Linked DNA regions of Macaca fascicularis. The protein of the gene in region 4 interacts with the protein of the main gene of each other region in a pairwise test. Links are inferred from orthologs where the notes say so. Each region holds a gene or a part of one and is shown on either strand. Other genes may lie near its edges.

Region 1 (4,098 bases), on a different chromosome or scaffold from region 4:
GGTAAGGGAGTCTACATGCTTCCAGAGTTGAGGACAGTGGGGAGAAGAGGAGTTCAGGAGCAAGTGGGGACTGGCACCTATAGAGTGAGATGTAGCTAAGCATTTTTTTTTCTCTCTTTCTTTTTTTTTGAGACAGAGTCTAGCTCTGTCACCCAGGCTGGAGTGCAGTGGTGCCCTGTTGGCTCACTGCAACCTCCACCTCCCTGGTTCAAGCGATTCTCCTGCCTCAGCCTCCTGAGTAGCTGGAACTACAGGTGCGTACCACCACACCTTGCTAATCTTTGTATTTTTAGTAGAGACGGGGTTTCACCACGTTGGTCAGGCTGGTCTCGAACTCCTGACCTCAGGTAATCCTCCCGCCTCAGCCTCCCAAAGTGCTAGGACTACAGGTGAGGGCCATTGCACCCAGCCAAGCTGAGTGTCCTGAAGCACTCAGAACCAGTGTCCCATAGTGAGCACTGTGAAGAGGCATACAGGGTTCTTCTTGCTCTGCGGGAGGCCAATTCAGAAGCAGGAGACGAAGCCCCCACGAGTGACCTGCAAGCAGCTGAAGAGGAAGCATGGAGGCTGCTGGCACAAGAGGAGGCCACCATGGATGCAGGGGCACGGCAGAATCCACAGCCAAGGTACCTCCCCGGAACCCTGGGAACTGGCCTGGTTGAGGAGTGGGGTCTTGACTGGGGATTGGGGCTCCCAGAACTCACCATGTTTGGGGGCTTGGTGTGGCTGTGTCCAGCAAGGTCGGTATGGAGCACACTGTAGTTGGTTGACATGAGGCTCAACTGCAGTTGGCCTGTTGCTACTTGACAAAGTTAGCATGGTGGTTGACAGATATTGCAGTTGGCGTGAAGATGGATAATGATGCCTACTGGTTAAAACTGGCACCCACAGCCGGGCACAGTGGCTCACGCCTGTAATCCCAGCACTTTAGGAGGCCAAGGCAGGCAGATCACTTGAGCTCAGTAGTTCAAGACCAGCCCTTGTAACATGGCAAAAGTCCTTTTCTACCAAAACTACAAATAAATTAGCCGGGTGTGCCCATGTAGTCCCAGCTACTTGGGAGGCTGAGGTGGGAGGAAGCCTTGAGTCTGGGAGGTGGAGGCTGCAGTGAGCTGAGATTGCACCACTGCACTCCAGCCTGGGTGACAGAGTGAGACCCTGGTTTTTTTTTTTTTTTTTTTTTTTTTTTTTGAGACGGAGTCTGGCTCTGTCGCCCAGGCTGGAGTGCAGTGGCTGGATCTCAGCTCACTGCAAGCTCCGCCTCCCGGGTTTGCGCCATTCTCCTGCCTCAGCCTCCCGAGTAGCTGGGACTACAGGCGCCCGCCACCTCGCCCGGCTATTTTTTTGTATTTTTTAGTAGAGACAGGGTTTCACCGTGTTAGCCAGGATGGTCTCGATCTCCTGACCTCGTGATCTGCCCGTCTCGGCCTCCCAAAGTGCTGGGATTACAGGCTTGAGCCACCGCGCCTGGCCAAGACCCTGGTTTTTGTTTTGTTTTGAGACGAATTTTCACTCTTGTCACCCAGGCTGGAGTCCAATAGTCTGATCTCGGCTCACTGCAACCTCCGCCTCCCAGGTTCAAGCGATTCTCCTGCCTCAGCCTCCCGAGTAGGTGGGATTACAGGCTCCCACTATCATGCCTGGCTAATTTTGAATTTTCAGTAGAGATGGGGTTTCTCCATATTGGTCAGGCTGGTCTCGAACTCCCGACCTCAGGTGATCCACTTGCCTCTGCCTCCCAAAGTGCTGGGATTACAGGCGTGAGGCACTGTGCCCAGCCCCAGCTAATTATTTTATAAAGACGGATTCTCACTCTGTTGCCTATGCTGCTCTCAAACTTCTGGCTTCAAGCAATCCTCCCACCTCAGCCTCCCAAAGTGCTGGGGTTACAGGCGTGCATCACCACACCTGACCAAAATGTGGTCTTGATGGAAGATGGTGCCTAGTGGGGTACGTTGGTGTGACAGGGGCCACCACAGATGGCAAAGACTCCGTCGTGGCCAGTGAGATGGAAGATGATGGACCCTACCAGGATTGGCATGAAGTTAACCCACCTATGCCTGCCGGTGTTAACATAGGCACATCTTCTGTTTTCTGTAGCCCTGAGGGCAGCAGTGTGGATAAGCCCACACCACAGGAAGTGGCTTTCCAGCTCCGAAGCTATGTCCAGCGTCTCCAGGACCGCCGTTCTCTAGTGAAGATTCTCTCAGAGCCTGGCCCCACCTTGGCATCCATGCCCACTGTGCCCCGTGCAGAAGCCATGGTACAGGCCATTCTGGGGACCCAGTCTGGCCCAGCTCTTCCCCGACTGGAGAAGACACAAATTCAGCAGGACCTGGTGGCCACAAGGGTACAAATGGGCTGTGGTCACTGTCAGTTTTTCTTGATGGGACAAAATCCTTTACTGAGGTTGGGGGATCAAGGAGCAAAGGAGAATTCTCCTGGGCTGGGTGCAGGCATTGTGAAGGAGAATTGGAACTGGGGTTTTGAGGGATTAATAGGAGTTTGTCTTCTGGGGTTCATTGTCTCAATAGACTACAAATCTGGCTCTCCAAAATGCCCTTCGTATGGGAAGAGATGGGAGCAAAGAACACAGTCTTGGGTTTGTAGCTTGGCATGAAAACCTTGAGGTTCTGAAGCTGGAGAAACTCCAGAAGCTTTGACAGAACTGCTCTATGACCTATGTAAGCTACTTGCCCTCTAGGAAATGCCATTTCTACAGCTGTGGTTTTTTTTTTTTTTTTTGAGACGGAGTCTCGCTCTGTCGCCCGGGCTGGAGTGCAGTGGCCGGATCTCAGCTCACTGCAAGTTCCGCCTCCCGGGTTCACGCCATTCTCCTGCCTCAGCCTCCCGAGTAGCTGGGACTACAGTAGACCGCCACCTTGCCCGGCTACTTTTTGTTTTGTTTTGTTTTGTTTTGTTTTTTTTTTTTTTTTGTATTTTTTAGTAGAGACGGGGTTTCACCGTGTTAGCCAGGATGGTCTCGATCTCCTGACCTTGTGATCCCCCCATCTCGGCCTCCCAAAGTGCTGGGATTACAGGCTTGAGCCACCGCGCCTGGCCACAGCTGTGGTTTTTATGGGAGGAAGATATTTCCACCTCACAAAAACATGGTGATCCTGGCGAACCCGGTGAAACCCCGTCTCTACTAAAAAATACAAAAAACTAGCCGGGCGAGGTGGCAGGCGCCTGTAGTCCCAGCTACTCGGGAGGCTGAGGCAGGAGAATGGCATAAACCCGGGAGGCAGAGCTTGCAGTGAGCTGAGATCCGGCCACTGCACTCCAGCCTGGGTGACAGAGCGAGATCCCGTCTCACCAAAAAAAAAAAAAAAAAAAAAAAAAAAAAAAAGAACATGGTGAAGGTCCTAGTTTGTTTTTTGTTTTTTTTTTTTTTGAGACAGAGTCTTGCTCTCACCCAGGCTGAAGTGCTGTGGCGCTATCTCGGCTCACTGCAGCCTCTGCCCCCACCGGGTTCAAGTGATTCTCCTGCCTCAGCCTCCTGAGTAGCTGAGATTACAGTTGTGCACCACCACACCTGGCTATTTTTTGTATTTTCTGTGGAGACGGGGTTTCGCCATGTTGGCCAGGCTGGTCTCGAACTCCTGACCTCAGGTAATCCACCCACTTCGGCCTCCCAAAGTGCTAGGATTACAGGCATGAGCCACCGTGCCCAGCCAAAGGTCACAGTTTTTGTCTGAATAGGCCTCAGTGGGTGCCTCTTGGGGCCTCAGTTTCCCTGCAGTTGACGGTAGAAGCAGAAATTCTCTCCCCTCTCCTTGGTCCCGCAGGAGGCCCTGACGGACCTGATGCTTCGGCTGCAGCTGGTGCGGCGTGAGAAGCGGGGCCTAGAGCTGCGGGAGGCTGCCCTCCGAGCTCTGGGTCCAGCTCACGTGCTCCTGCTGGAGCAGCTGCGGTGGGAACGGGCGGAGCTTCGGACTGGTGGGGCAAACAGCAGTGGCGGACATAGCAGCGGAGGTGGCAGCAGTGGGGACGAGGAAGAGTGGTATCAGGTGAGCCGCCCTGCCTGAACCTGGTAGGGGTAGTAGCTTACTAACGAGAACATAGCCCTTGTCAATCACAGACCCCCCCTTTTTTTTT
Region 2 (4,098 bases), on a different chromosome or scaffold from region 4:
ATTTCCTCTTCCTCACAACAATGCTGTAATAGGAGAATGTATCCAATTTAAAAATGAAAAATGCTACCTGGGTTAATAGAGCTGGGATCTACGTTTGTATAGCGTCTGAGCACTTATTGCTCCATTACTATTATTAAAACCTGGGCAAAGCCATTTAGTCATAAGTGACTTTATGACTAGTTAGGTAAATATGAAGGAGTAGTGGAAAACAAGTCAGTAGAGTTGACTTAGATTGTTGAAAGCTTCAAAACAGCCTGAGTTGGAGGTTTACCTTGAAGACAGTGGTGGAGTAAGCTCAAATGTTTTTATCAGGGTAAAATAAATAACCTGGTGAACTGGCAAACAACAAGAAGGCTATTGTAATAATTCTGGTGTGAGATAATTGGTTGAACTAAGCAACAATAATGATAGAAGGAAAAGAGGAAGATTTGTAGTATTAGCATAATTTGAAGATCAAAGGAAAGCAAGAATCTGAAGTTAGACTGGTTGACTAGGAGACTTTCAATACAAATTAAATATTAAACAGAGGAAACAGTTGCCTTTGAGTTCTGTCATTGAAACAATGGCAGAGAAACCCAAAGGAAATGCTTATTAGAAATAGGAGGTTTGAGAGGTCAAGACTAGGTGAGAGAAATTGGTGGGGAGGATAGGTGTATTTAATTTGGAGATGGTAAGGAATTGATATTCTCCATCTTTAAAAGTACTTACGGAGTACTTTTAGAGTACAAGAGTTTAAAAATTGAGTCTTGAACAGATACATTTCTGATTACTCAAGGTGCTTTTCTGAGCAGCCTTTTCCCCACTATTTTTTTTACACTTATAACTACTCCAGTCTCAGAAAAGGAATCATATACTTTGTGCATGAGTAATAAATTTTTATTAAACGTGATGCCATACTTAGATATTTACAAGTCAAATTTGCTCTTTTCCATCACTGTCCGCAAAAAGTCTTTACTTGTGGCTTACAATAAGTATTGGCCAGTGTTCTCTTATCATTTTACTATAACAAGAAAAGAAAGATTGTTTTGTATTTCAACTGTTCCAACTAGATTTATATCAAATTTTACTTCACCTAGATTGATACCAAACTTAGTTTCTTTGCAGAATTAAAACATGTAATCAACTGGCTTATTTTATCAACAATTACTCCTTTCTGTTTTATTCCCTTGCTCAGAGATTAGCATTACAGAAACTTATTGTTGTTGCTGTTACCAATAAAGTCCTTAAAACTGATAAGTCCTTTCTAACCTCGACATGTTTTCTTTGGCCTAAGCTTGCAGATCAGTTTTGTAATGCCATTGGAGTATTGCAGCAATGTGGTCCTCCTGCCTCTTTCAGTAATATTCAGACAGCAATTAACAAAGACCAGCCTGCTAACCCTACAGAAGGTAAACAGATTTTCTTAGCTTCTCTTATTTTGACTCTCACATTTTTTGTTATCCTTTAAAATTAGATTTCTTGAGAAATTCAGCTTATTTTGTTTCTAAAAATATTGTTACTTGAGGATATTGCAAGTTTTGTTTGTTGTAAAAAACTTAGTCAATTCACCTAACATCTCATAATTCTGGTTCATGTCAGATAATAGATTGTTACTCCTTTAGAGGAGAATTTGTATTAATTTAGCTGAGTGAGGGACCTTAACAAGGAAGGCATCCCATTTATAAATTTTTTTTTTTTTTTCTAAATCTTTTTTTTTTTTAAATTTATTTATTATTATTATACTTTAAGTTGTAGGGTACATGTGCATAACGTGCAGGTTTGTTACATATGTATACTTGTGCCATGTTGGTGTGCTGCACCCATCAACTCGTCATTTACATCAGGTATAACTCCCAATGCAATCCCTCCCCCCTTCCCCCTCCCCATGATAGGCCCCGGTGTGTGATGTTCCCCTTCCTGAGTCCAAGTGATCTCATTGTTCAGTTCCCACCTATGAGTGAGAACATGCGGTGTTTGGTTTTCTGTTCTTGTGATAGTTTGCTAAGAATGATGGTTTCCAGCTGCATCCATGTCCCTACAAAGGACACAAACTCATCCTTTTTGATGGCTGCATAGTATTCCATGGTGTATATGTGCCACATTTTCTTAATCCAATCTGTCACTGATGGACATTTGGGTTGATTCCAAGTCTTTGCTATTGTGAATAGTGCTGCAATAAACATACGTGTGCATGTGTCTTTATAGCAGCATAATTTATAATCCTTTGGGTATATACCCAGTAATGGGATGGCTAGGTCATATGGTACATCTAGTTCTAGATCCTTGAGGAATCGCCATACTGTTTTCCATAATGGTTGAACTAGTTTACAATCCCACCAACAGTGTAAAAGTGTTCCTATTTCTCCACATCCTCTCCAGCACCTGTTGTTTCGTGACTTTTTAATGATCGCCATTCTAACTGGTGTGAGATGGTATCTCATTGTGGTTTTGATTTGCATTTCTCTGATGGCCAGTGATGATGAGCATTTTTTCATGTGTCTGTTGGCTGTATGAATGTCTTCTTTTGAGAAATGTCTGTTCATATCCTTTGCCCACTTTTTGATGGGGTTGTTTGTTTTTTTCTTGTAAATTTGTTTGAGTTCTTTGTAGGTTCTGGATATGAGCCCTTTGTCAGATGAGTAGATTGCAAAAATTTTCTCCCATTCTGTAGGTTGCCTGTTCACTCTGATGGTAGTTTCTTTTGCTGTGCAGAAGCTCTTTAGTTTAATGAGATACCATTTGTCAATTTTGGCTTTTGTTGCCGTTGCTTTTGGTGTTTTAGACATGAAGTCTTTCCCCATGGCTATGTCCTGAATGGTACTACCTAGGTTTTCCTCTAGGATTTTTATGGTATTAGGTCTAACATTTAAGTCTCTAATCCATCTTGAATTAATTTTTGTATAAGGAGTAAGGAAAGGATCCAGTTTCAGCTTTCTACTTATGGCTAGCCAATTTTCCCAGCACCATTTATTAAATAGGGAATCCTTTCCCCATTTCTTGTTTCTCTCAGGTTTGTCAAAGATCAGATGGCTGTAGATGTGTGGTATTATTTCTGAGGACTCTGTTCTGTTCCATTGGTCTATATCTCTGTTTGGTACCAGTACCATGCTGTTTTGGTTACTGTAGCCTTGTAGTATAGTTTGAAGTCAGGTAGCGTGATGCCTCCAGCTTTGTTCTTTTGACTTAGGATTGTCTTGGAGATGCGGGCTCTTTTTTGGTTCCATATGAACTTTAAAGCAGTTTTTTCCAATTCTGTGAAGAAACTCATTGGTAGCTTGATGGGGATGGCATTGAATCTATAAATTACCTTGGGCAGTATGGCCATTTTCACGATATTGATTCTTCCTATCCATGAGCATGGTATGTTCTTCCATTTGTTTGTGTCCTCTTTGATTTCACTGAGCAGTGGTTTGTAGTTCCTGTTGAAGAGGTCCTTTACATCCCTTGTAAGTTGGATTCCTAGGTATTTGATTCTCTTTGAAGCAATTGTGAATGGAAGTTCATTCCTGATTTGGCTCTCTGTTTGTCTGTTACTGGTGTATAAGAATGCTTGTGATTTTTGCACATTAATTTTGTATCCTGAGACTTTGCTGAAGTTGCTTATCAGCTTAAGGAGATTTTGGGCTGAGACAATGGGGTTTTCTAAATATACAATCATGTCATCTGCAAACAGGGACAATTTGACTTCTTCTTTTCCTAACTGAATACCCTTGATTTCTTTCTCTTGCCTAATTGCCCTAGCCAGAACTTCCAACACTATGTTGAATAGGAGTGGTGAGAGAGGGCATCCCTGTCTTGTGCCAGTTGTCAAAGGGAATTTTTCCAGTTTTTGCCCATTCAGTATGATATTGGCTGTGGGTTTGTCATAAATAGCTCTTATTATTTTGAGGTACGTTCCATCAATACCGAATTTATTGAGCGTTTTTAGCATGAAGGGCTGTTGAATTTTGTCAAAAGCCTTTTCTGCATCTATTGAGATAATCATGTGGTTCTTGTCTTTGGTTCTGTTTATATGCTGGATTATGTTTATTGATTTGCGAATGTTGAACCAGCCTTGCATCCCAGGGATGAAGCCCACTTGATCATGGTCGATAAGCTTTTTGATGTGTTGCTGAATCC
Region 3 (4,843 bases), on a different chromosome or scaffold from region 4:
GAGCTGTCCAATGTACTGAGTGAACCATCTTAGCCACAACTTACCCCTTAATACGGACTGATGTCCTGGGCGGTTCTCTTTTGAACCGAGATGTTTCCACATTCATCTTTTTAGGCTATTTCTTCTAATCTACCTTTAAAATTATCTTCTAATCTGTCATTTTGACCCAATGGGTCTTTTAAATAAATCTTTACACATTACTGAATAATTAAGTAAATATAGTTATTGACAAACAAAGAAAAAGGACCCTTTTGTTAAAATATTAGGGATACTAGAGAAAATATAAAATGAGTAAACTCTTATTTTTATTATGCCAAATTTAAAATCTCTTTCTTATCTCAACGATCTAACGATAATCAAAAAGCTCCTTTAAATATAATTCAATAAGTCATTGTTTCTGCTCTTAAATCTTACTGTAGGACAATACAAATCAATGAGGAAAATAAGCCAGATGGAAGTGTTAGGTTTTTTTCTTTGTTCAGGAACAAATACTCGATCCGCAATTTAAAAGTCCGAAGACTCCTCAGCAGAGGGTGAACTGATTGACTCCTTGGCTTATCAAGGGCAAATCGCATTTCTGAAAAGAGCTTGAAGTGGTTTTGTTTGTGGGGAGAGTTTGCTTTGTCCCCCACACTGAAAGGTATACAGCAAAGCCCGAGCATAGAAAATGTCCTGAGCTTAAATTTGTCATTTTATTGCCGTCATAACGTTTCCTCTTGGAATAAAATCCTCTATTTTATATGAGCAGGAGGTAAAGGTAGGGAAAGGAAAGTCAAGTATCTCAATTGTTAGGCTGATTGCATCCAAACAGACTTTAGAAGCAAGGGTTTGTAACGTGGCAGGAGAGCTGTTTGCGATGCCCTGGAAAGAAAAAGAAAGCCGGTTCCAACAGCGACTCTGGGGAATGCACTCTCGGCCCCCCTGCCATGCTTACTTAAGCTAATGGAAGGTCTTGCCTTTCAGCAGCCGCTGCACTGGGATACCAGACAAACAGCTCCCCTCGATCCCAGGCAGGCAGGGCCCCTCTTCAGGACATCATTAAAAGCACATGCACTTGCTCCACATCCATTGGCAGATGGTGGCAAGATTCAAGACTCCTATCCTGAAGTCAAGGAGAAGCCATCGCCGTGGAAAACATCCTCGCTTTGAAAATCCAACACGAAATTAAAGAACTACACGAGATAAGGAGCCCGGAGAACATTAGTTGGCTGCAGGGGTGAAGACAGACACAAAAAGCACAGCAGGTAAGAGCTGGGGGTTGTTGCCAACAAGGAACTGTCCCGGGTGGCGCAGAGAAAAGGATCTCAGAACTGGAGGCCTGTCCCTTTGAGTCTTCCATGCGTGCTCAAGCTTGTCATCTTCCATAAGCTTCGAGAGAAGGGACGTTGTCAGAGCATTTCTTATCGGTGCGACTAATCCTGTTATCAGCTCGGTTATAAATATTTAATGTTCCCTGGCCCTTCGGTGATGGTGCCCCATCAGATTCAAGGCTGTTAAGAATCTCCACCAGCAGCCTCGCCCCTCCCTGCGGAAAACCGATGAGAGGCAGGGCCAAGCCGAAGCGATGGCGGCCTATCCAGAGAGCTGCGTGGACGCTACGGTGCTGGACTTCGTCGCAGACCTGTCCCTGGCCTCCCCGGGACGCCCTCTCCTCTGCGACTTCGCACCCGGGGTCTCCTTTGGGGATCCAGCCCTTCCGCTCCGAGAAGGAAGACCCAGGAGGATGGCGCGGTTTGAAGAGGGGGACCCAGAAGAAGAGGAGTGCGAAGTGGACCAGGGGGACGGAGAAGAGGAGGAGGAAGAGGAGCGCGAGAGAGGCGTCTCCCTATTAGGCCGCCCCAAGAGGAAAAGGGTGATCACCTACGCCCAGCGCCAGGCCGCCAACATCCGCGAAAGGAAGCGAATGTTCAACCTCAACGAGGCCTTTGACCAGCTGCGGAGGAAGGTGCCCACGTTTGCTTACGAGAAAAGGCTGTCCCGGATCGAGACCCTCCGCCTGGCCATCGTCTACATCTCCTTCATGACCGAGCTCTTGGAGAGCTGTGAGAAGAAGGAAAGCGGCTGAACCGGGTGGGGAGAGTCTGCCCTTCCTGGTCTGGTAGTGCTGGGGTGTGTCAGGACCGGGTACTGGGTGAGGCTAAAGGGCCAAGAGGGACGCCCCAAGACAGAACGTCTGGCCTTCTGGAGGTCGGTTTCGAGATTGTAAGATCCCTAAAGTCCCCGAGCAGAGTGGCTGTTGTAGAGTTCATATCTATGCGACCGCCCTAAGTGAAGTCGGGGTCAGGGGCGAGCGGGGATGTCAGAGCGCGAGAGGATGAGTCCGGGCCGTCCAGGCTGCTCCTAAGAGCTTCCGTGGGCTAGGTGGGTGGGAAGAGAACCCTCCTCGCAAATGGCAGACTTTGGAGCTTCTATAGAATCTAACCTCTCCTCTTTACTTTTTTTTTTTTTCATAGAGATAATAAAGTAGAAATTCTTACTTTTTAAAAAGCCTCAAGAGTCGGTGGTGCGCCATCCCCAGCAGGCGCTCCAGCAGGCGCCTGCAAGGAGGCTCTGGAGCAGACGCCGCGAGGGTGCGGGGATGCGAGCTTTGCTGGTAGCCAGAGGGTTCTGTCTGGTCCTCCGATGCTTCTCCAGGAACTGAGGGAAGGAAACATGGAAGGCAGAGCAGTCGAGGGGAACTGCTGACAAAGTGGGACCTCTGAGAAGGAACACCCTTGCTGTCTTCCATTTCCTCTCCCTCCCCTCCCTTCCTCTCTCCCGCGCGCGAGCCCTCTCTCTTCCTTTCTCCCTCTCCCTCTTCACCTGGTTGATTCCAGAGGGACCATGGCTCCTTGTCCCAGGGCCACAGTGGTGTTCATTCAGTGCCTTAGCCAGAGTGCAAATCTACGCTTTGCATCTTAAGTGCAGCGTCAGCTTCCCTGTTCCAGTGCCTTCAGGCCGCAGGCCAGAGTAAGGGGCGAGTGCACTTGGGTCACTCCTGGGTCGCAGGGGGCCTTGGGTGCCCTGCAGCTTCGCCACCAGTCAGCGTTTCCAACTGTCCCCCCGGCCAGGGGTTGGAGTATGTGAAGGTGCCTGGATCTTTCTAGGAGCAGGGCCGCCTGAGCGCTCACTTTAACGTTTTTAGCTGTAGGGAGGAAAGATAGCTTTCACTCTAATGGCTTCTAGAGACTACCCGACAAAAAGTCCAAAGAAGAGATGCCTTCTGACGCCTTGCAAAACGACTGCCATGCAGACGAGGTTGAAGCGGGTCCATGCTGAGAGGCCGCCTCCAGTTTGGACCCGTGCCATACCAGGATTCTTCCTTCTAGGTGACGTGCTAGTACCAGAACTGGGGTATTTCAGAAAGGAGTGGGTACCTGAGGAGAGGAACCCGATTTAATAATGCCCACGTAAACATAAATTCAGTAATTCTAAAGGATAATCCCCAGTGATTCCAACACTTTATTTCGCCCCTCATTAGGCACAGGAATAGGCGGGGGCCTGTGCGAACACACAATTCTCTGAATTATGTTTTCAGAAAGAGAATTCATTTCATTAATAAGTAACATATACTCATCCTAGAAATTTTGGAACACAAAATTTCAAAAAAGAAAAAAATCGAATCACTCCACATTACCATACTGTTAGCATTTTCATCTATTTATTTCCAGTATTTTTTTCCCTGTACAGTTATAAATTCAATACATTTAACTAATTTGAGATACCTTGGGATACTGATATTTTTCCACTTGACATTATAGAAGGTGCAATGTTTTTCCTTAACTTTCAATATTATCCAAATGTGATTTTGATTACCATATCTTATTGTCATATCCATGTATCACAACACCATCCCTTTACAGATAGATAACTATTTCCTTTAAAAAAAAATAAATGATGCTGCTAAGAGCATTCTTGTAAATGTCTTCTCTGTCTATTATTATTTCCTAATATTTGATACCTAGAAGTGAAATTTCTGGATTCAAGTTTGTGGATACAAATGGCCAGATTCCCTTCTTGGTGGGTTCTGTCAGTTCACTCTCCCACCCTCTAGTATTGCAGGAATTTGCCTGTTTCCCAGCCCATTCATTAGTACTTTGAATATTTAAAACTTCTCTTAGTTTTCCTTTCAATAGGGCCTGGCTTAGTTCTCAAATGAGCCCCCATTCCCAAGATTTTTATTATTATTATTTTTATTGTGTCTTTCTATCAAGAATTTTTCGAACTCTACCACAAGAACATCAGAATAAACAGCTAAATGAAAAAAATACACAAACAGCTAACACTAAACAACAAAACCCCATAGTGTTGTTTTTTCTTATTCTTCTACCAATTCAAGTTCTCCTAGAAATTAAACATCATTCTTTTTTTAAAAAAAATCATCTGAAAGTGTTGAATAAGTAAAAAGAAAAAAAAAGTAATTCCAATCTAGGAATTCTTAATATTTTGTTAAAGGAACCAGTTTTGAAAACCAGAAATAAAGCAAAATTGTGTAGACCAGGGACCATCAACATTACTAAGTCCTGAGGAGTAAGCACAGCCACCCGTTTTCCTTAGTCTTCTCCCTCATATTCTAACACATTTTGTTCCTAGTAAGCAAATAACATTCCTCCAGTGAATACCTCTTCATGATAGTAAATGATACCTAAAAAACTTCTAAATGAAAAGTCATTTTCTTATTATCACTAGAGGAATTACCCACCCTTCTTAAAAAAAAACTTTAACAGTTTATAAATGCTTTGCTATTTGTAAGTTTACATGTTTAGGAACTGCCTCAAATGTAGTCTTTTAAGATATTTCCATAATAATTTTACTCAAAGTAATTTGAACCCAGGTAAGGATAAGAGTCACATAGAAAGGGATT
Region 4 (4,706 bases):
ACCTAGTTTGTGTACTGGATTCACTTCACTTGCACTGGGACAAGAGCACCGGCCACTTTCAATCCCTGCTTCTAGGCAAAGATTCCCTCTGGTTTTTCCGCAATCTCAAAGTAACTGTTAAAGGCAATTTTTCATTCCAGTCTCCATCTCTGAAGTCTGAGATCCACCATTTGAGTGTGTGACCCCTGCTCAGTGCACCCCATCTAGGCACTAGGCCGGGACATAAAATTACCTCCTATTGCAGTATGGTCGGTTTCCCAAAGTCTCGATTACCTTGCTTAGGACATTTACACTAGATTCCACTGCTGGAAACACCCCCACCTTCTTTCTTATCCCCTCTTTTCACCTGTCTTTAGGTCTTAGGGAGTATCTCATCACCTTCATTATATGATAGCTGCTGTTGGATTCTAAAATTCTATGGGCAGGGATTGGGGGTTTTTTGTTGTTTGTTTGTTTGTTTGTTTTTTAGTTTATCCGGTACTAGCCAGGAGCCCTCCAAAGAACAGCTGCTCAATTAATATTTGGACGATTAAAGTGTAAGTGACCAGGAAGTCAAATGTATTGCTATTTAATTTCCCCCACATTCCTGAAAAAGCTAAGCCAATCCGGGTACATACACTTCACTTTTACAAAGAAAAACTAAAAAGAACAAAACAAAGCAAGAATTGACCACATTTTACTTTTTTTTTTCTCTACTTCATGGTCCCACCAACTTTATTGCAAGGTAATTTCCTTTTCACAAATTTCATATTCCAATTCCATATTATCTTGTTCTAGATCACAGGAAAAGACTTAAAAGATTTTTAAATTGTTTTACATAATGCAAAAATTCTCGCTCTTCAACCTGTTATATTTTAATAAATGAGTGATTCATGCCTTTCACAAACTTAGATTCTGAAACTAAATAAATCTACAATTAAAAAAAAGGACACTGAAAAGCAGGAAAAAGAAAAGATAAATCATTTTACATACAAATATGTTATATATAGTGTTCCCACCAACTCCCCTTTGGCCCTCCATTAATTAGAAGGTTAAGTGTTTTGTTAATCAAAAGTAAAGAATATACCTCAGACTTCACAAGGAGTGGGAGACACTGCTGGACACCACACTGAAACATGCCAGACCCAGTTGCAACACTATCTCTGGCTCTCTCTCCCTCATCTCTCCAAGTCTTCTCTTAATGGAGGGAAGACAATGGGGACACTGTCATTGACCTTGGCCCAGGCCTCCACATTCTTGAATAATCTAAGCAAACCAGGTATGTAACTTTTAAATTTATGAACAAAAAAAGACTGAACGGAGTAAGACAAACCATGAATAAAGCAACTTTTACTTTTCTTCTCTTTCTATCTTCAGATTCTACCTATTTTACTGTGAAGTTATTATAAATTTCTAAGGATAACCTTACTCCCATGCCATGTTATTTTGCTCTGTATCACAAAAATGATTTCAGGATTTTCTATTTGTATTTCTAAAACAAAATTCTTATTACTAAACCAACCTGATAAACAGCAATAAGTGTGTGATGCATGCCATTTCTAAACTTATATTCTGAATCTAAATAAACTTTCTATTTTAAGAAACATCACTAGAAAATACAACAAAGAGATAAATCAACAAGTTATTCATGCATCACAGGAACAGAGAAAGCAACAGGTCTTTCAACCACAAAATGAACAATTTGCCTTAGATCTCACATGGGGTGGGAAGAGCTGCTGGATGTGGCCCTGGAATACGTACTAGTCACGGCCGTAGTGCCACGCCTGGCTGCAACTCTGGGCCGGGCTCCGGTTCTCTCTTCTTCATCTCTCAAAGCCTCTTCATAAAGGAGTGGGAAGTTATTGGGGGTGGTGTCATTCACCTTGGCCAAAAACTCCAGGACTTTCATCTTGCTGGTTTCTGCATAAGCTCTTGGACCCCACAGGAATTGATAGCGTGGGGGATCACTGTTGGGCACCTGTTGGTATTCCAGATATTTTTCCTGCACCAGATCTTGGGTGATGAGCTTTCGGGGTTCCCCAAAGATAAGGTGCCTCTTTCCATCATAGATCCCCAACATATTCAGGAATTCCCAGATTTCCTCTTCACCGGCACAGTTGCCGTTTAAGAAGATCACACTCAGTAGAGGCATCAGAAGCCCGTTTCTCGGAAGGCTCCAGGCACTGCTCTGGTTTCCATCATTGGTGGGGCCTAGCATGCTGACAAGGATGTAGGAGTGAGTGGTGGGGTTGACCTCCTTCAAGGCAAGGCCAAAGACCAGCTCTGTGCGCTGAGAGACTTTCCTGAAGATCTCAGGGAAGTGCTCCTTGTACTTTTTGCTGATGATCTTCAGCATTTCTGCCTTTGTAGTGGGCTCTTTCATTTTATACTTGTACAGCAGGAACTGCACCAACATCTTCGTCTTCCTGGTTAGAGGATCTTTGAGTGATCTCTCAGTGGATGTTGAGGCCTGGGAGGAACTTGCATTTTCCTCATCTTGGCTCTCTTCACCTTCATCAGGTCCAGTGCCTGACATAGCTGCAGCAGCAGGGGTGGTGCGTGGCTCTCTCTGAGGCTTCTGGGGAATGCCCAAAGCAAGGGAGCTGGAGGGAGTATCCCCCAAAACAGATGAGGAAGAGGAAGGAGACTCTTCTTTCTCTGCTGCAGTAGCCTGACCAACCTTGAGATCCTGGGTCTGAGCACGGGTCCGCTGGCGTTTCTCACGGGCACGAAGCTTACTCTTCTGACCCCGAGGCATGATGGCTGTGGTTAGGCACAGCAGGCAGGAGTGTAGGCAGAAGGGCAGGTGATGTGGTTCCTGGAGAAGAGTGAATGAAATCCTGAGAACACCTTCAGCAGGCAGATACTACCTTGGCTTTTCAGAAGCCGCCTCTGCAGGATTCCTTGAGAACACTGCTCTAAGTATTCACTGGGCTATTGTTCTTAGTCATTCTGTCCCCTGAGAACTCAGCTGAGGAAGTTACAATGTGCCTTAGGCTGCAGCTTGCCAACCCTGCCTGGGGCTGACTGGGTGACAACAAGCCTCGCAGTTGGGATCTCTGTGTTCAAGCTTGGAGAGGATCCACTCTGATTACCTTTAAAATTATCATGTCAGCTCTTGGCAGGGCCTGAGCCTCTCTCTATTGGTGTTGTGAAATTGACTCTTTAGTTTTCTGGGACCCAAATGAACGAAGTCCAGGGGCCCCTCAACCCACCACCCCTGCCTAGAAGCATTTAGTACTCTCTCTTTAGGTCCCAGATTTGCACTCAAGATCCTCATCTGGACTCCATGCAAGGTTGTGGACTGTCTCTTCTGCTGACTGATAACTGCGACTTCGGAACAAGAATTTCACCTTTTCTAGTTCTGATATAAAATGTGATGGGCATCTAAGAAAAAAAAATTGATTACCTGGACTTTGCTAAATTAAAACTTCTGCTCTGCTAAGGATACCACAAAGAGAATAAGATAACTCCCAGGTTGGGAAAAAATTATTTTCAAAAGACATATCTTATAAGGGACTGTTAACCAAAACATACAAACATTTCTTAAAACTGAACAATAAGAACTGACCAACCCTATGAAAAATGGGCAAAAGATCTAAGCAGGCACCTCAACAAATAATATATATGGAAGGCAATACATACATGAAATGATGGTCAACATCACAGGTCATTAGAGACTTGCAAATTAAAACAATAATGTGATACCACTACATACCTATAAGAATGGTCAAAATCAAAAACACTGATAACCCCAAATACGGATGAGGATGTGGAGCAACAGGAGCACACTGTCATTGCTGGTGGACATGCAAAATGGTACAGCCACTTTGGAAGACAGTTTGTAAGTTTCTTACAAAGCTATGCATACTCTTATCATATGATCCAGCAAGTGTGCTCCTTGTTATTTAGCCAAATGAGTTGAAAACAGTATGCCCACAAAAAAAAAAAAAAAAAAAAAAAACCCTGCACACAAACGTTTATAGTAGCTTTATTCATAATTGCTCAAATTGGGAAGCAACCAATATGTCCTTCAGAAGGAGAGTGGGTAAATTAATAGAATAAAGTATTATTCAGCACTAAAAGGGAATGAACTATCACGCCACAAAGAGACATGGATGAAACTTAGATACATATCACAGAGTGAAAGAAGCCAATTTGAAAAGTCTATACATTGCATAATTCCATCTATATGACATTCTGGAAAAGGCAAAAGTATGGAAACAGTACAAAGTTCAGTGGTTTCCAAGGGTTGGGGAGAGTGAGAGATAAATAGATCAGGCACAGAGAACTTTTAAGGCAGTAAAACAATTCTGGATGATGCTATGGTGGTAAACATATGTCATGTTACATTTTTAAATATTAAAACCCACAGAATGTGCAGCATCAGGAATGAATCCTAAACTACAGACATCGGGCATTGGGTGATAATGACGTGTCCATGTATTCTCAATTGTAACAAATGTATCACCCTGGCTTGGGAGATTGATATGAGGGAGGCTGTGTCTGTGGGAGGACAGGATGCCCATGGGACTCTGTGCTTTCTGCTCAGTTTTGCTGTGAACGTAAAACTATTCTAAAAAAGAAGGTCAATTATTTTTTAAAAATTAAAAAAGTGGTGGTGAATCCTCAACCTTACATGCTGCTCTGGCAATTTAAGATTTATGCAGGGGGGTGGACTCTGTTGTCCTCTCTATTCAGAGGTGAGCAGTCCCCTCAGTTCTCAC
Region 5 (4,098 bases), on a different chromosome or scaffold from region 4:
CAGGCCTGCCTCCCCTGCCCAGAACACAGAGACGCACGCTCAGCTTCAGGAGATGAAGCAGCTGTACCAGGCCAGCAAGGACGAGCTGGAGCGGCAGAAGCACATGTATGACCAGCTGGAGCAGGACCTCCTGCTCTGCCAGCTGGAGTTGAAAGAGCTCAAGGCCTCCCAGCCCAGTCCGGAGGACAAAGGAAAGTGTGCTAACAAGGTAATTGTTGTTCAGAGAGGTGACAGCTCCTGGGCACTGGCTCCAGAGAGAGGAGGTACAGAGGCAAAAGATGAAGGCACCCAATCGAAGGGCTTGATGGGCTTCCTAGGCAGGAAGCAGAGGCAGGGCCACATGCTGCTAACTACAGAACCGTTTGCCCTGACCTTGACTTTGAGCCGGAGCCACAGCTCAGTAGGATCAATACCTTTGGATCCCAGTCTGAACCCCTGAAGGTTTTACACATGATTCCATGTATGTAGACAATGGAATATAGAGTGCTGACTAGGCAAGAGAAGGACCTAGGCTCTTTCAGGATTTATTCTGTGACTTTGAAGTAGTTAAATTCTTTGTTGTTGTTGTTGTTGTTGAAACAGAGTCTCACTCTGTCACCCAGGCTGGAGTGCAGTGACACGATCTCAGCTCACTGCAGCCTCTGCCTCCTGGTTTCAAGCGATTTTCCTGTCTCAGCCTCCCGAGTAGCTGGGACTACAGGCACATGCCACCGCGCCTGGCTAATTTTTGTATTTTTAGTTGAGACGAGGTTTCACCATGTTGGTCAGGCTGGTCTCGAACTCCTGACCTCAGGTAATCCACCTGCCTCGGCCTCCCAAGCTTCGATGACAGGCATGAGCTGCCATGCCCTGCCAGTAATTAAATTGTTGAAGGTTGAATTGTGCCCTCTTTAAATGGAAGAGAATTCTACTCTTATCTCACTTCCTTTTAGTAGTAAATCCTGATAGTGATAAATAAGGGCTTATTCATTTTTTTTCTTTTCCATAGTGTATAAAATGCAAGCCGTTATCATTTATCCTGTTGAGCACTTTCAGCTCCTGATTACTGATGGGAAATGGAAAGGTGTTGAAGCATGTTGGAGAAAAGGCCCAAGAGTCTCTAAAGATGGTGGAGCTGGTCACATTCTGCCAGAAACTCAGTAGTTCCTGTCCCTGGGGAAAGGCCTTCAGGAGACAGAGGACTGGGAAGGTTATTTGGGCTACCTCAACAGTCTCTTTGCCTTTCTATATCCAGGCTCACGTTTCCTCCTTTTTCCACTTCTACTCAATTTAGGAGCCCAGGGGATCCGTGACTTGCTCGTCACCTCTTCCCCTAATGGGAAAAACGATGGGAAAGGAGAAGCATGCTGGCAGACAGCACCTGTTTTTTTCTCTAGCCATAAAACAGCATTGAGATCTGTCTGATACTGGAAGATTTGGGTTTTTGGAAATGGGATGATTTAGACTTCTCAATCCAAATTCAGCAATAGCGCATACTTTCTAAAGATATAAAGAGAGAATTAGGAAAGCAAAAATGGGAAAAATTAGGGTGAAATTAGGTCCTTATTGGTAAGGAGTGTAATTGCATTCAAAAACAACTGGGGTTAATGAGAATAACAGGAGCTAAGAGTTCCCAGCAGGGTGGGAATATGGTGTATACACCAAAGGAAAGGGCCAGAGAAGAGGAAAGGGGCATCGATAGCATTCGCCATCAAACTGCCCCCAGAAAGGAATGGTAGAAGTTTAGAGCAAGGCCAGCCACCAGTCTAGAGCAACCTGCTCTGAAAGACCAGCCTGTGGGGGATCCCCAATCGGTATCTAAACAGCCAGGGTGCATTGTGGCTTGGGGTGACCAGTCCAAAGTGACTGCACAGGGAGAGAATCACAAGAGGCAGGAGAGCGCGGAAGTGCTCTGTTAGCCACCCAGGAAGCTTACCTTACAGAGTAACCACCCCCTCCGCACCCGCCCCCACCCACAGTGTGACACACTGCTGTCCAGACTGACAGAATTGCAGGAAAAGTACAAGGCCAGCCAGAAGGAGATGGGGCAGCTGCAGATGGAGCAGTGTGAGCTCCTGGAGGACCAGAGGAGGATGCAGGAGGAGCAGGGCCAGCTGCAGGAAGAGCTGCACAGGCTCACACTGCCACTGCCCAAGAGTGGCCTCTTACTCAAGGTAACTCCGCCAGAGGCAGCTGCTAACTGGGGAAGCTGCTCTGAGAAGCTTCCCTGTGTGACTAGGGAAAAATAGAAGGGTGGAGGTTGAACTTTTTCTTCTTCTTACCAATGACTCCTTACTTTCTCACCACTCTCCCCAAACCAAAAAGCTCCATAGAGCCAATTAGAGTTTTTCTTATAAGGGCTTTAAATCTTAAAATACCTTTTATACTCTGGAATCTGTGCAGCAGTTTATATTTAGTTATTTAGTCCATCTGGAGAAAATGCACCTGAAACCACTTTGTAAATGACAAAATATATCCCAACGTAAGAAACCATTGCTACTTTTAGCTGGTCTCCATAGAAAGACTCCCCCTGTCCCCAGATGGGCTCTGTGAAGCCAGCCCTGAGATTCTTCAGGGAATTGTTCACAGCAGGGATGAGGCACCAAGGAGGCATCGGACTTTCTGTGTAACCACCACAATCCCTTGCCTCCTTCCTTCTACTCCGCCTCAGAGTCAGGAGCTACTCACCAAGTTAGAAGACCTGTGTGAGCTGCAGCTGCTCTACCAAGGCATGCAGGAGGAACAGAAGAAGCTGATACAGAACCAGGACTGTGTATTAAAAGAACAATTAGAGATCCACGAAGAGCTGCGACGTTTCAAAGAGTCTCATTTCCAGGAAGTGCTGGAGAATCCCGATGATTCCAAATTGGCTAAGTCCTCAAAATATAATCGAAACAAGGTAACCATAGCAAGAGGTAGGGAGACAGTTCTCCTGAGCACAGCAGCATGACAGGGAGAGTGGGCACTGCTGAAGGGTCAGAGTTGGGAAGGCCTGTTTGGCCAGGGGTAAGGATAAGGCTAAAGCCCTGCCCTTCACCACCTGTGACCTCTTTCAGGCTCCATTAAGAGGTGGCTTTTAGATACAGCCTGAGGACCTCACCTAGATGCCATTATCCTTTATCATATTGATATTCACAGTGCCCAGTTGAAGCACTGTGAGCACTCAGGGCAGAGCTGGGATGACCCAAAATCTGTCATCGGATCATTTGACTCATTCCTAGTAAGATGTATAGTTGGATTCCTTTGGACTGACTCTAAACATGTCATCTTTTTCTTGAGTGGAAAAGTACGGTTCTCAGTTATCAAAATCGTTCACCTTTGGTGTTATCTGTGAGGCAAATTTGGGCCCTTTCATTTCCAAGAGAAGAATTCCTAGCACATGGGGTTCTTAGTACTGACCACACTATCTTCATTGGAACTTTGGTGGCAATAACAGAGCAAGGTCACAGGGGTTAGACCAGAAAATCGATGCCTTTCAAGTACCAGCAAGGGGTCATACCGATGAGGTGACACAGGTGGAGATCACCGTACAATTCTATTCAGGGTTGGGGGCTAAAGTTGTTCTGAGGTCTCAGCGTGGGTGAGGAGGGGCAGGTAGACAGTTTCGGTTTAGGCCGAATCTATTCATTCAGATCTTATTCTGAACAAGGAGAACCAGGGAGTAGCAGAAGTCAACACTGTGAGGCTGGATCATATTCCAGGGGCAGCAGATGTCCAGGCTGCAGGCCTGGGTAACACAGCTGGGAACCAGGTATAAAATATTTCCTTAACTGATCAGATCTCATCCTGGACATCAGCGCCAAGAAGCCAGGCCCAGAGAGCCTGGGAAACATGCCCAGAGGCCAGATTCAGAATTGGGGCAGGAGATACAGGAACTAATAGTGAGACTTTGATTCCAGTTCTTCATATTGCCGCGTTCAAGGCCAGGCTGATTTTACAACTAGGGGTGGGCAGGGAGACTGAGCCTGAAGGTCAGGATAACAGGTATACCTGACTGAGAAGAGGGTGTGATGGGGAGCCAAGGTGTTCTGGAAACCCACTCGGGACTGCTCCAGGGAGACAGGGATGTACCAAAGTGCAGAAACCAGCTGAAATGGGAGCCGGGAAATTATGGAGTAT

Evidence for each region.
Region 1: the proteins of MAGEB4 (region 4) and USHBP1 interact in binary tests that used the Homo sapiens proteins (3 or more experiments, as listed by UniProt). The two-hybrid records come from large-scale screens. The link is inferred for Macaca fascicularis from reciprocal best matches to the Homo sapiens genes MAGEB4 and USHBP1.
Region 2: the proteins of MAGEB4 (region 4) and MED21 interact in binary tests that used the Homo sapiens proteins (3 or more experiments, as listed by UniProt). The two-hybrid records come from large-scale screens. The link is inferred for Macaca fascicularis from reciprocal best matches to the Homo sapiens genes MAGEB4 and MED21.
Region 3: the proteins of MAGEB4 (region 4) and FERD3L interact in binary tests that used the Homo sapiens proteins (3 or more experiments, as listed by UniProt). The two-hybrid records come from large-scale screens. The link is inferred for Macaca fascicularis from reciprocal best matches to the Homo sapiens genes MAGEB4 and FERD3L.
Region 5: the proteins of MAGEB4 (region 4) and CCDC136 interact in binary tests that used the Homo sapiens proteins (3 or more experiments, as listed by UniProt). The two-hybrid records come from large-scale screens. The link is inferred for Macaca fascicularis from reciprocal best matches to the Homo sapiens genes MAGEB4 and CCDC136.

What each region holds. Positions count from the first base shown.
Region 1 is NC_088393.1:17,576,314-17,580,411, reverse strand, and holds part of USHBP1 (harmonin-binding protein USHBP1), read left to right. Parts: intron 1-452; coding exon 453-626; intron 627-2,100; coding exon 2,101-2,350; intron 2,351-3,788; coding exon 3,789-4,010; intron 4,011-4,098.
Region 2 is NC_088385.1:29,779,888-29,783,985, forward strand, and holds part of MED21 (mediator of RNA polymerase II transcription subunit 21), read left to right. Parts: intron 1-1,273; coding exon 1,274-1,388; intron 1,389-4,098. UniProt on the Homo sapiens protein: Component of the Mediator complex, a coactivator involved in the regulated transcription of nearly all RNA polymerase II-dependent genes.
Region 3 is NC_088377.1:111,066,511-111,071,353, forward strand, and holds FERD3L (fer3-like protein), read left to right. Parts: upstream 1-1,540; 5' UTR 1,541-1,564; coding exon 1,565-2,065; 3' UTR 2,066-3,886; downstream 3,887-4,843. UniProt on the Homo sapiens protein: Transcription factor that binds to the E-box and functions as inhibitor of transcription. DNA binding requires dimerization with an E protein. Inhibits transcription activation by ASCL1/MASH1 by sequestering E proteins.
Region 4 is NC_088395.1:30,249,086-30,253,791, reverse strand, and holds MAGEB4 (melanoma-associated antigen B4), read right to left. Parts: upstream 2,968-4,706; 5' UTR 2,738-2,967; coding exon 1,694-2,737; 3' UTR 659-1,693; downstream 1-658.
Region 5 is NC_088377.1:170,267,549-170,271,646, forward strand, and holds part of CCDC136 (coiled-coil domain-containing protein 136), read left to right. Parts: intron 1-22; coding exon 23-208; intron 209-1,958; coding exon 1,959-2,153; intron 2,154-2,650; coding exon 2,651-2,878; intron 2,879-4,098. UniProt on the Homo sapiens protein: May play a role in acrosome formation in spermatogenesis and in fertilization.